Cricetulus griseus: one gene and its partners. The protein of the gene in region 1 purifies or fractionates together with the protein of each later gene. This does not show direct contact. Links are inferred from orthologs where the notes say so. Each region holds a gene or a part of one and is shown on either strand. Other genes may lie near its edges. The genes, in order: Txn, Cops5 and Aifm1.

Region 1 (3,750 bases):
ACTACTTAAAACTCTGAAAAAAAGAGGCTTGCAACCCTAATTTCTGGCTTCAGTGAATATGAGTTACAGAGATGTGTAAACTTCACAAATAAGATCTCTTCTCCAGATGTGTAAACTTGCCTGAACTGGCTTGAAGAGTATTCAAAATTGTCTAAGAAGCAAATCACAAATTTTAGCTTCAGAAACTAATAATCCATCACAATTAGGAAATGGTTCCATCACTGACACCGATGATCTGAAGAAAACAGTTGGAGTAGTTAGAAGCAGTTGCTTTGATCCCTCTTCTCAAATATTCCTAGCTCAGGGGCTGGCAATGTGACTCAGCAGATTAAGGTGCTTGCCACAAAAAGGAGAACTGAGTTCAATACCCAGGATCCCCAAGACAGAAGTGAACCAACCCTCCCAAGCTGTCCTCTGACCACCACAAGTGAATGCCCCACCCCTATACGTAAACGGAAAAGAAAGCAAAACAAAAGGCCCCAAACACAAAACCAGCCCAAAGGTAGCAATACAAAGTGTTCTTTGCTTTTTGAGACCGGTTTCACTCTGTAGCCCAGGACAGGAAGGTGGTGATCCTCCTGCCTCAGCCTCCTGAGTGCTGAGAGCCATGAGCCAACACCCTGGTCTAACATAGTCTGTAAAGCACTGAGCAGCATGCCTTGTGTGTAGTTCAATAAATAGTTTTAGTCTTAAAAATAAACAAAGCAAACCAACTGTTGATTTTTTAGCCCATCATCCCACTCCTGTCTGGAATCAGGGACCCTTAACTAACCGTACAGTCCATACAGTCCTCAGAAACACATGGTTAAACCAATCAACTTAAGCCCACCAGTATAACCCTAGGTGTATTCAATTAATCTCTGATTCGGGGCGACTCTGATCAGAGCCTTGTTAATAGGCCTTTGGGGCCCAAGGTTTTTATGAATAACTGGTTTCCTGTCCCCAATGCACACCTTTTCTACTGGAATGGCAAAGGTCCCATAAGTAAGACAGTTTAAACAGGTAAGGACCTAACTGGGTGCTGGGTCGAAAACGACTGATAGTGGGTGGATTCTGAGCAAACTCATGTACTGAGACCCACCCAACCAGGCCCGAACAGCTCATAACTGGAGGCGTGGGTCTGCCTTCCTTGGGCTCCCCTAGTTAGCTAGGTTAACAAGTTAACTAGGTTACCTTGTGAGAGTCTTCCAAACATCAATTCCCACCACCGCCCCTTTCACTTTCCACTTTACAAATATTCCCCGAGTAGTTACAGTGTAACAGGCTCTGACTTTCCCAATCTGGAGGATATTTTGGTTCTCAGTAACTTTCAAATATGGCAACAGTTTTTCCCTTAGGTATTTTTTTCTTTTCCCAAATGGCAAAACCTGGACTTTGTAGTGGACTACTCCCTGGGAGGAACAGAGCCCTGGTTCCAGCAAAGCCCACTTACAGCGGGTGAATCACTGAAATCTTAGCGTAGTGAGGCCCCTGGGCCCAGACATTGGGGACTGAGTCATTCCAAAGCTAGCGCTGCCGGAAACACGCCCTGAGCTGCAGGAGGAGGAGGAGTCCCACAGGCGGGGCCTGGACCTTTCTCCTTCCTAGTAGTTACCTGGAGCACCTGCCCGAGGGTCTCCAATAGGTACCGGCCCCCGTGCACCGACCGGGCACTGGTTCTCTAGGCAGTGGACCACTGATGGAGGCAAACTCCGGCCTAGCCCTGAGGCACAGGACACCCCGCGTTGTGTATGACAGTGTACACGCGAGGAGTGGCGGCTCTCATTTCTTCCCTGAGACTCCGAATCCTGGTTCAGACGGGGGTTCACCCAAGGACCCCCTCCATCGTTTCACCTCCGCCAGATTAGAGCTGGCGGTAAGGAGAAGGCTGGAGGCTGCAGGAACCCAGATCGGGGAACCCAGGTGCCGCCAGCGGTGCACCTCCGGTACCCGGCGTTCCAGGGTCTCCCCGTCCCCTCCCCCAGGCGTGCTCTACAAGCCCAGGGCGCGCACAGGCCCCGGGCCGCTCACCACGGGGATACAGAAGGCGACCAACACAGCACACGGCGGGGTGCGCGCGTCGTCCGGGCACGCGTACCTTGCTCTCGATCAGCTTCACCATTTTGGCTGTCGCGGGGAGGAACCACACGAGTTTCTGTAGGATCGGATGGAAGCGGATCCGAGATGCCTGACGGATCTTGCGGCGGATCGAGGCGCCCGCCTTCTCTTTATAGCGACAGGGCGGAGCACGGCGGGGCGGGGCGGGGCGGGCGGGCGCGTGCAGCGGGGACGCGCTCCCTGGCCTCCCGCGCCCGCCAAGCCGCCTCGGCAGGCCACACCTAAGCCACGCCTCCAAGAGGTGGAGCGGAAATCAGGTTTCCAGGGGGCGGAGCCACAGCCGGCTACTAGAGCAGCTCCGGTACTTCCCTAGTGATGGCCCCGCCCATGTCTCCTCCCTCTGCGCGGCGGAAAGCTGGCCTTGGTTTACAGGGGGAGAGGCTAGCGCAGGCGCCTGGAGCAGCTTCGGGCTCCCAGACACCGCCCTGCGCTTACACAGGGAAGTAAGTGTGCGTCCAGTTGCTCTAAGGGCATTTTCGTTGTGCACTACGTAGGGAGGATGCTCATAGTCCCCTCTCACAATCTGGAGTCCTTCTAGGATCACATTGGCCAGGCCCCAAATAGACCTAAGTCAGATACTTCCAGACTGGGCCTGGGGACTGCCCAGGCAGAAGTGTATCCTTCGACCAGGGCGGCCATGCTGCGGTTCCGCCTCAAAGTGCTGAGTAACGATGACTAGGAAGTGTCTCAGTGCACTCCTTCCCCTCCTTTCTGGAGATTTCCCTGTCCCTTCTCTCCCCCCTCCCCTTCCTATTCTTTAACTTTCGCGGGTGAACCTGCTACTGGAGAGGGACAGAGTCCTTTAGTGCCCTTTTTTTGTGCCCCATGCGCATGCGGGCATAATGGACATCGGATTGTCTAGTTCACAGCGTTGTCTCGAAGGATTTAAGGGCTTGAAAACTGACGAGGACAGCGCTGGGCACATAAGGAAGCACTCAATAAATGATTCTAATTATAGTCATCGTGAGCGCTAATTAAGCTTGCGTGGTGCCATGCCGGCCTTGCTGAATTTGGCTGCCTTGTATTTACAATGACAGTGTACATGCATTGCAGAAATTGTTCTGCCTTGGGAGACGCCAGGAAGAGTGTGTGCCAATGATAACTGGGGTGATGTGCAGGAGGAAGCTAAGACATTGTTAGGGTGGCTTTGTGCAGCCCGAAGCTGAGGTGGAGACTGGACAGAGCCAGCAAGCTGGGAGGATGTTTGCCAAGGCTGCCTTTTCAGAGCTGAGCAGATCTAGATAAATATGCATCCAGAGGTGAAGAGCTGGAGATGGTGAAACCGTGTCCCTGTCTCAGTGCCCCTACCACCACCACCACCTTTGTTCAGAACTAGAAGAAAACCAGAACTTTTGAACCAGTTGTGTGAAGTTTTTGGAGGGCTGAGGAATGCAAGTAATGAGTGAGGATGTGGACAAGACGGAACATTCTGAACCCAGCCCTAGACTGAGGGTGGGTGCGGCCCTGAAGGCAGTAGCCTTCCCTCTGAAGACAGCTGAGGCAGAGAGGACCCCTGAGCTGATGAACAGAATCTATAACATGCTTTTCAGCTGTTCTTTTCAGTCCAGCTACACTCCAGCTTCCTGGCTATTTAGTAGTTGGTGAATCTGTCTATCAAGGCCATGAAATCAGTGACCTGTAGGACCTGGTCCC
Region 2 (3,650 bases), about 64 Mb from region 1:
GCAGCAAGGCCACAGTGCCATGCCCAGCACTGAAAACAAATGCAGACACATTCATGAGTTCACACACTGAGACAGCCAAAGCCAATGTGTGGCCACTGCACCTTCTGAAAGAAGGCATGTTTCTTGTTTTGGTTTTTGGTGCCAGGGATGGACCAGAGCCCTATGCCCGACAGGGAAGTGCTGAAGTGCTGAGCCACTGAGCCACTTTCTCCACCAGGATGAGCTGAATGAGGTACTTCTAACTCCAGTGGCAGGATAAACTTCACCTTCCCCTCCCTTCTCCCTACAGAACAGTGCTTTTGTTTGTTTGCTTTATGCTCAAAGACAACTTCATTAGTGTTAAAGAGAAAAACACAGTACAGGTGGAAATCCTGGCAGACACCAGGAGATGGAGGAAGGCTCTGCTTTTCAAGTTTGGCAAGGAGTAGAAACAGCTTATGAAAAAGGAAAAAAAAAAACATCCCAAGAGTGGAAATATGCTATGAACTGAGGGAAGACAGCCCCCGCCCTCCACCAAACAAACCAGCTTATAACTGCCCAAATATTCTCTCTTCTGCCAGTATCAGATTAAAACTTGAGGTTTTGTGGCAGTAAATGTTAGTGTTTTCAACCCGTACATTCTGTCATCAATGGTCACATTCTCATCTAAGTTATCAGAGACCACATCCCAAGGAAATAATTAGCAAGTAAAACATGAGATACTAAAGTGCAGAAAGAACGACTTAAGAGAGAATCTTTTCCACAATATTCTGGAATCTGAAATTTGGCAAATTTAAGAAATGTTAATTCTTCAGAAAATGTTTAGTCGAGGAAAAGGGTAAGCATGCTTTTGGAAGCCCTTCCCCTGAAAAAAGATCTAGTCAGGGGCCAGCTTTCCTTGTACACCATGTGGCTATGGTATTCCTAGATCTTTGAGTTGAGCTTTCTATTTTGCCTTATGTCCCCTAAAATTTGAAAGTGTGATAATACTCAGGCATTTCCCAAGTTGTAGCTGACTGAACCACAGGATCAGGATTTACTTCCTGTAAATTTTGAGAGAAGAGTAGGGCAGGACCTGCACATGAACACTTACCTGTCTCTAGTAGCTTTGGCAAGTTTGTCTTCTGATTTCCGATCGTGTGTTTCTAAACCCAACATGAAACTCCCTCGTCCCAGCTGGGCTTCTGACTGCTCTAACTTTTCAGACAAATCAAACACCTGGCCAGTGGTATAGTCTGCATTCTGTGGAGAAAATGGTGTCATGTCATTTCACAGCATAGGCTCATCATGAAAATATTCTGTTTTTTTTCCAGGGCTAAGCCTGCCTTCAGGGACATGTAGATATAAGCAAGCACTCCACTACAGCATTATACTCTCAAGCCTTTGTATTTGTTTTGAGACAGGGTCTTGTTAGTTGCCCAAGTTGGCCTTACTCTATTGAGGAGCTGGAACTATAGGTATACCACCCATTCTGTCCAGCCCCACACCCCCACTGCCCAAGATTCTACCCACTCCCCCACACACTTGCTTTTATTTTTGAGACAGAGTCTCTCACTACAAAGCGCTGGCTGTCCTGGAACTTACTATGTAAACCAGACTAGCCTTGAACTCACAGAGATCTGCCTGCCTCTGATTCCTAGTGTTGGGAATAAAGGTGTGTACCACCATACCTGGCTAAAAACCCAATTTTTTTTTTCTTTTTGAGACAGGGTTTCTCTGTAGCCCTGGCTGTTCTGGAACTTGCTGTGTAGACCAAGCTGGCCTCTAATTTAGGGATTCCCTCTGCCTCTATCTCCCGGTGCTGGGATCAAAGGCATGCGCCACCATGCCTGACAAAATCCACTAATTTTTATGTAAATTAATTTAACATTCTATATCTAAATAATGTAAAGATGGATAGACAGTGAAGAAGTTAGGTCATAGCTATAAAAACTGCTCCTAAAATCTACCAATTTGATTTTAAAATTTTAGAACCTAATTTCAAGATTAAATGTGTTATTTTTTCCTTTGCTTAAATCAAGTTTTGTCATTATGAAGGCTATGAGGAATGCCTGGACCACGCCTCCTGGAACTCTTAAAAATGGAAGTAGGTGGCAATGATTTCCACCTTAAAACTCTAGGACTGTCCAGGGCACCTAAGAAAGGCTTAATAATTATTAGCTAGTTTTGTGACTGTTCTTATCAGAGTATTGCAATATGTCCTCATTCATACCTACATTTGAGGATCTATTACACATACCATTTCCAAATATGTATGTATTTTACAAATCACCAAATTACACCTCCAGGCTTAATTGTAATATTCTCATTTTATTTGTTTTGAGACAGGGTGTCAAATGACTCAGGCTTGATTACAGGCATATACCACTATGTTAGCAAGGGCTAACTGTAATATTTTTAAAAAGCTGCTATGAGATGTCTTTTTAGTTTTAATCTAAAACTGGCAACTATAAATGTAATCAAGGCAGTCTTGACTATAGTATGAGTTCCAGGCTAGTCAAGGCTATATATAAGGCAAGGCCCTGTATCAGGCTGGTGAGTCAGCTTAGTAGTAAAGGCACTTAATAATTTACACTCATCCCAACTATTCATGTCCTCATATTGCAATGCTGGAATACAGGGAAAGTCAGTCACAGGACTAAGCAGGTATATTCAACTGCCTTTATTGCTATTGTCTTAGAGTTTTCTCTCCCTGCCACCAGGTGTCACTTCTGACTATAAATATATTTGTCTCTAAGGGAACAACATACATAAGACACTTAGCAGTGCTTGGCACACGGGATACATAATATTTTCTAGTATGATTGCTTTCCTCCTTTATTTTTGTTTAAAACAAGATGGCCCCATGTGGCCCAGGCTGGCCTTTAGCTTTCAGCGTGGTGAGGAAGACCTGGAACTCCTGATCCTCTTGACTCAACCTCTCAAATCACAAAGACTGGCATTATAGACACACGCCACTGTGCCCAGCCTGCTCTCTTTTTAATTCTGCTACTTCTAGTAATACAGATCTTGTCAAAATTATATTTAAAATAAATAGGGCCAAGGGAGTCTTTCCAAGAATATAATGCACCAAACAAAACACTAGTAATTATTCATCCAGACTTCATTGTAAGCCAGGCACTTGCTAACTTTGTTATGACTTATGTAAAGTACCTTAGTGTACTTAGTAATACTTACAGTGTCACTGCCAACATTTTACACCAAGGCTCAGACACTAAAACTGGATGTGAAGCACATGCCTATAATCCCAGCACTCAGAGAGGGTGGGGACAGAAAGAAGTTCAAGGTCATCCTTGGCTACACAGCAACTGCAAGGCCAGCCAGGACCACAGGAAACAAAAGCTGCCCTAAGTTTTAAATATGTACCTATTAAATATATATCCATGTAATAAGCACATTAGATTTTAAATGATGTATCAGGACACACTGAGTTAATGCCTTTCTTTGCCTGGTATTTATCATCAAATTGATTTCCACGACCTCCTTCTCCAGCTTAATCCCCATGCTCCTCAAAGAGTTGTTTTCACACCAGCCCAGCAGTTAGCCCTTGCCTTGGCCCAGTCACTCATCAAATTTGTTGCTCTGCCCCATGACATGTCTTATGGATGAATATGTGATCTAAGCAAAGCTGAGCAAACACAGGAAACATGCCTGAGAATATGCAGGGACAT
Region 3 (3,650 bases), on another chromosome or scaffold:
GGCATTTATCATAGCAACAGAAACCCAACTAGCCTGGCGGTGGTGGCACACTCAGGAGGCAGAAACAGGAGGATCTCTGTGAGTTTGAGGCCACCCTGGTCTACTGAGGAAGTTCCAGGACAGCCTCCAAAGCTACAGAGAAACCCTGTCTCAAAAACCAAAAGAGAAAAGAAAAAAAGAAACCCAACTAAACAGAAATTCTTGTCCTGACCTTAGTACTTAGCTTTTTGTTCTATACACTTCGTTTTGCAGGGAGGACTGAGATAAGGGAGCACTTTTTGCTTTATAGCCCTAGGCTAGTCTTGAATCTACTGTGCAATCCAGTCTAGAATCTGACTCAAAATTTTCCTGCTACTGCCTTCAGAATGCTGGAATTATAAGCATGTGCCAACAAGCCCAGACTCAGTCCATAAACACTGTTCAAACTCCTTGAATTCCTCCTGGAAAATATATTTCTGGAATTTGTGATAGTGCACCAAGACATGCGATATATGACTAAAGAAAATGGAGGAAAGTTCTCCATACTCACATTTTCTGCCAAGAGCACAGGCCAGTTCACTGCCAAGGAAGCCCCCACCGATAACTGTAATTGACTTGACTTCCCGTGAGATCTTCTCCAAGGCTCTAAAGTCTCCAATCTGCAGGATCATACCAGTTTAATTCACTGATTTCCCAAAGGGGCACAAGAAAATAATCCAAGAAAATATTTTCCTCTAACTCAGCTGCATCAGATATTTGCAAATAGCATCTTGTTCAAAGTGGTCAATTACAGCATCTATATTATTAATGTGAATTTTTTCTCCATTGTAACATTCCTTCCAGCAACAGTGGCTGTCAACACTGGTAGTAGTTTTTCTTCCCAGTCCAAGGTGGCCATGTGGCAGTATCTAGAGACATTTTGGCTGTCAGAACAAGATGCTCCTGGCCTCTAGTGGAAGAGAAGCCAGTGATGCTGCCAACATCTTACAAAGCAAAAGACAGCCTCCCACACAAAGAAATTTCAGCCCAACAATTGAGAATTTAAAAGGCAGTATAAACTTCCTCCAATATCTCGAAGTGTGGCTAGAAAATTCCAGCAAGGCATACTGTTAAGAAGCAAACAATCTCCTTTCCTTTGTACTTAGATACTCTTGACCTTTTGCATCAAAGTCTTCACAAAGCACTCATAATGAAAAATGCCAAGAGACCACAAGGAGTTCTGGTGGATCAAATACTGCAGAAGAGTAGTCAGAGAACTACAGCAAGCAATAAAAACCAAATGTAGTTTTGTCCTACAAGCATAGAACCCTTGAGTGAATGTGAGTGAATGAAGTATTAGAGGTGCAGGGAGAAGTGACTTGCTCAAAGCTAGATAACAAGTCTGGAGAAGAGCTCTATAGAGAACTTAGATCTCCCAATTGGAGGAAGCACTCGGGGAACACAAAAGCGTGTTACCTCTTCAAAACAACACAAAGAAAACACTAAAGCAATTTACCTTTCTGAAAAGTGTTGTTCTGCTCTTCACCTCTGCTCCAGCCCTATCAATGGCAGACAGACTTCTTGGAGTGCCTCCTGGAAATAGGAAAGCCCTTTTAGCCTGACAAGCAGGAGCTAGCCCAAACAACACCTACAGGTAGATCTCTCTTTGCTTTGACTGTGGCTAAGTATACTTGGTGTCACAGCAGCAGCGGTGGTGGTGGTGGCTGTGGCTGCTGCAAACACTACCAAGGAGTGACTAGCAGGTAAGATGGCTTGCCTCACAGCAGGCTTCTTATCAATTTCCTTGAAGAAATACATCTGAGTCTCTTTTCGGAGGACCATGCCTTCTCCATGGCTGGTCAAATCAGAAAGCTCAGTTCCTTTTTCCATGGTGTGTGTCTGTCTGTCTCTGTCAATTTTCTGAGTGGGTCTTACTATGTCCACCAAGTTGGCCCAGAACTCACTATGGATCCCAGGTAGCATCAAGTCTGCTTTGATCCTTCTGCCTCAGACTCCTGAGTGCTAGGATAAGAGCTACTACGCCCACCTGCCACAGTAGCTCCAGAGTCTCAGGAGGCCTCACATGCTAGCACGGTTACACCACTCTCATTAGCTGCTTGTCTTCTCCCCTAATTTTGGATGAGAATTGGCAATAAACCCACAAAGCTACATATCCTTCAGACTAGGTACTGAATACCATGCACAGAGGAAAAAGGAGCAGCTTCCTCAGGTCGTTACCAGAGGATTATTTTTTAATAAAATGTATTATAAAAATTGCAAATAGGTAAAAACATTACACACCCAAATTAACCAGACATCTACACCAGAGACTCTGGGTATCAGTTGTCTTAAGGATAAGCTGCAATATCTTTTCAAGAGAAGGCCAGACTCTAAAGGGAAGACAGCCACCTCCAGAAATACTCACCTGTTGCAATCAAGCATTTTTCAAAAGTTATCTTAGAGCCATCATTAAGTTTCACCATGTTGTCTCTTACATCCAACTGTACTACCTGGTATAGTCACATGCAAACATACAAAAAGTAGAAATGAGTAAGTTACGAAAAACTACTATGATATAATAGTCACCATTTTAAAGTACAAATTCATTGTTTTTTTAAGTTTATTTACCACTATCTAATTCTAGAACATTTCATGCCACAGGGGGTTGGGTGGGGGGGTGGGGGGTGTGGGGCTCTGAACCTATGTTGTCAACTCAATGAGAAGAATTAGTTTTTGACTGAAAAATTATCCTGAAGAAACTGTTTCTAATTAGTTATTAGGACCATAGTTTTTGGGACCCTGTTTCTTTAAGCAACCGAAGCTTGTATCAAGTGGATTCCCAAACAACCATTCTGATTTATAGAAACAGACACTGGAGAAAGTCTTTTCTATTTTGGAATTTGGAGTCATTATTTCTTTGCTAACAACTCTACTATACTCACAACATCTCTGTAGAATCTTTCTCCAACTTCTAGTCTTCACTGAAACTCAGCTATCCCTCAGGGATGTTATACTTAGAGACAGTTAATTTGACCACACCCCATATCACAAGGCCAGGAAGAAGTGTTCCAATCGTCCACGGTTCCTGAGATGGTTGTTTCCGATGTTTCTAGAGTCTTATACCTTCATCCTCCGAGTGATACCTACCTACATCCCTTTACATCACCGTTAATAAACCACTTCCTTATCTCTAAGGACCTTGGATCTTGGTTCCTATTTTCCTCTGGGCCACATTGACACTCTTATTATTTCCTAAACTGCTACTTCTACCTCAGATATCTTACCACAATTTTCTCTCAGGCTCATTGTTTTTTTGTGTGTGTGATAGGAACTTTCTAGGAACAGGCTGGCCTCAAATTCACAGAGATCCACTTGACTCTGCCTCTTGAGCACTGGGATTAAAGAACTCACCACACACACACACACACACAAGCTTAGCGTCAGTGCCTTCTTCCCACTGTTACTTACTCCTCCTTTTCTGTTTTGTTTGTTCAAGTGTGGAGAATGTGAGTAGGGCTGTGGTTATGCTGGACAAGCACTGTACCATGAAACTGCATCTTCAGCCCAGCCTCACTGTACTTCTTCCAATTTTCTGTTTATTCGGTTGGCAATTCCATTCCAAATGATCTGGATCAATAGTAGATCATTCAAATGGCTCTCCTGTCAATACTCTTAATTCCCTTGTCTCTACT

Evidence for each region.
Region 2: the proteins of Txn (region 1) and Cops5 purify together in Homo sapiens (affinity purification with western blotting; 3 studies listed by BioGRID and IntAct, with this or other methods). This does not show direct contact. The link is inferred for Cricetulus griseus from reciprocal best matches to the Homo sapiens genes TXN and COPS5.
Region 3: the proteins of Txn (region 1) and Aifm1 purify together in Homo sapiens (affinity purification with mass spectrometry; 3 studies listed by BioGRID and IntAct, with this or other methods). This does not show direct contact. The link is inferred for Cricetulus griseus from reciprocal best matches to the Homo sapiens genes TXN and AIFM1.

What each region holds. Positions count from the first base shown.
Region 1 is NC_048595.1:85,908,241-85,911,990, reverse strand, and holds the start of Txn (thioredoxin), read right to left. Parts: upstream 2,235-3,750; 5' UTR 2,102-2,234; coding exon 2,078-2,101; intron 1-2,077. UniProt on the Homo sapiens protein: Participates in various redox reactions through the reversible oxidation of its active center dithiol to a disulfide and catalyzes dithiol-disulfide exchange reactions.
Region 2 is NC_048595.1:150,156,404-150,160,053, reverse strand, and holds part of Cops5 (COP9 signalosome complex subunit 5), read right to left. Parts: intron 1,222-3,650; coding exon 1,073-1,221; intron 1-1,072. UniProt on the Homo sapiens protein: Probable protease subunit of the COP9 signalosome complex (CSN), a complex involved in various cellular and developmental processes.
Region 3 is NC_048604.1:20,981,727-20,985,376, reverse strand, and holds part of Aifm1 (apoptosis-inducing factor 1, mitochondrial), read right to left. Parts: intron 2,469-3,650; coding exon 2,384-2,468; intron 1,552-2,383; coding exon 1,475-1,551; intron 639-1,474; coding exon 530-638; intron 1-529. UniProt on the Homo sapiens protein: Functions both as NADH oxidoreductase and as regulator of apoptosis.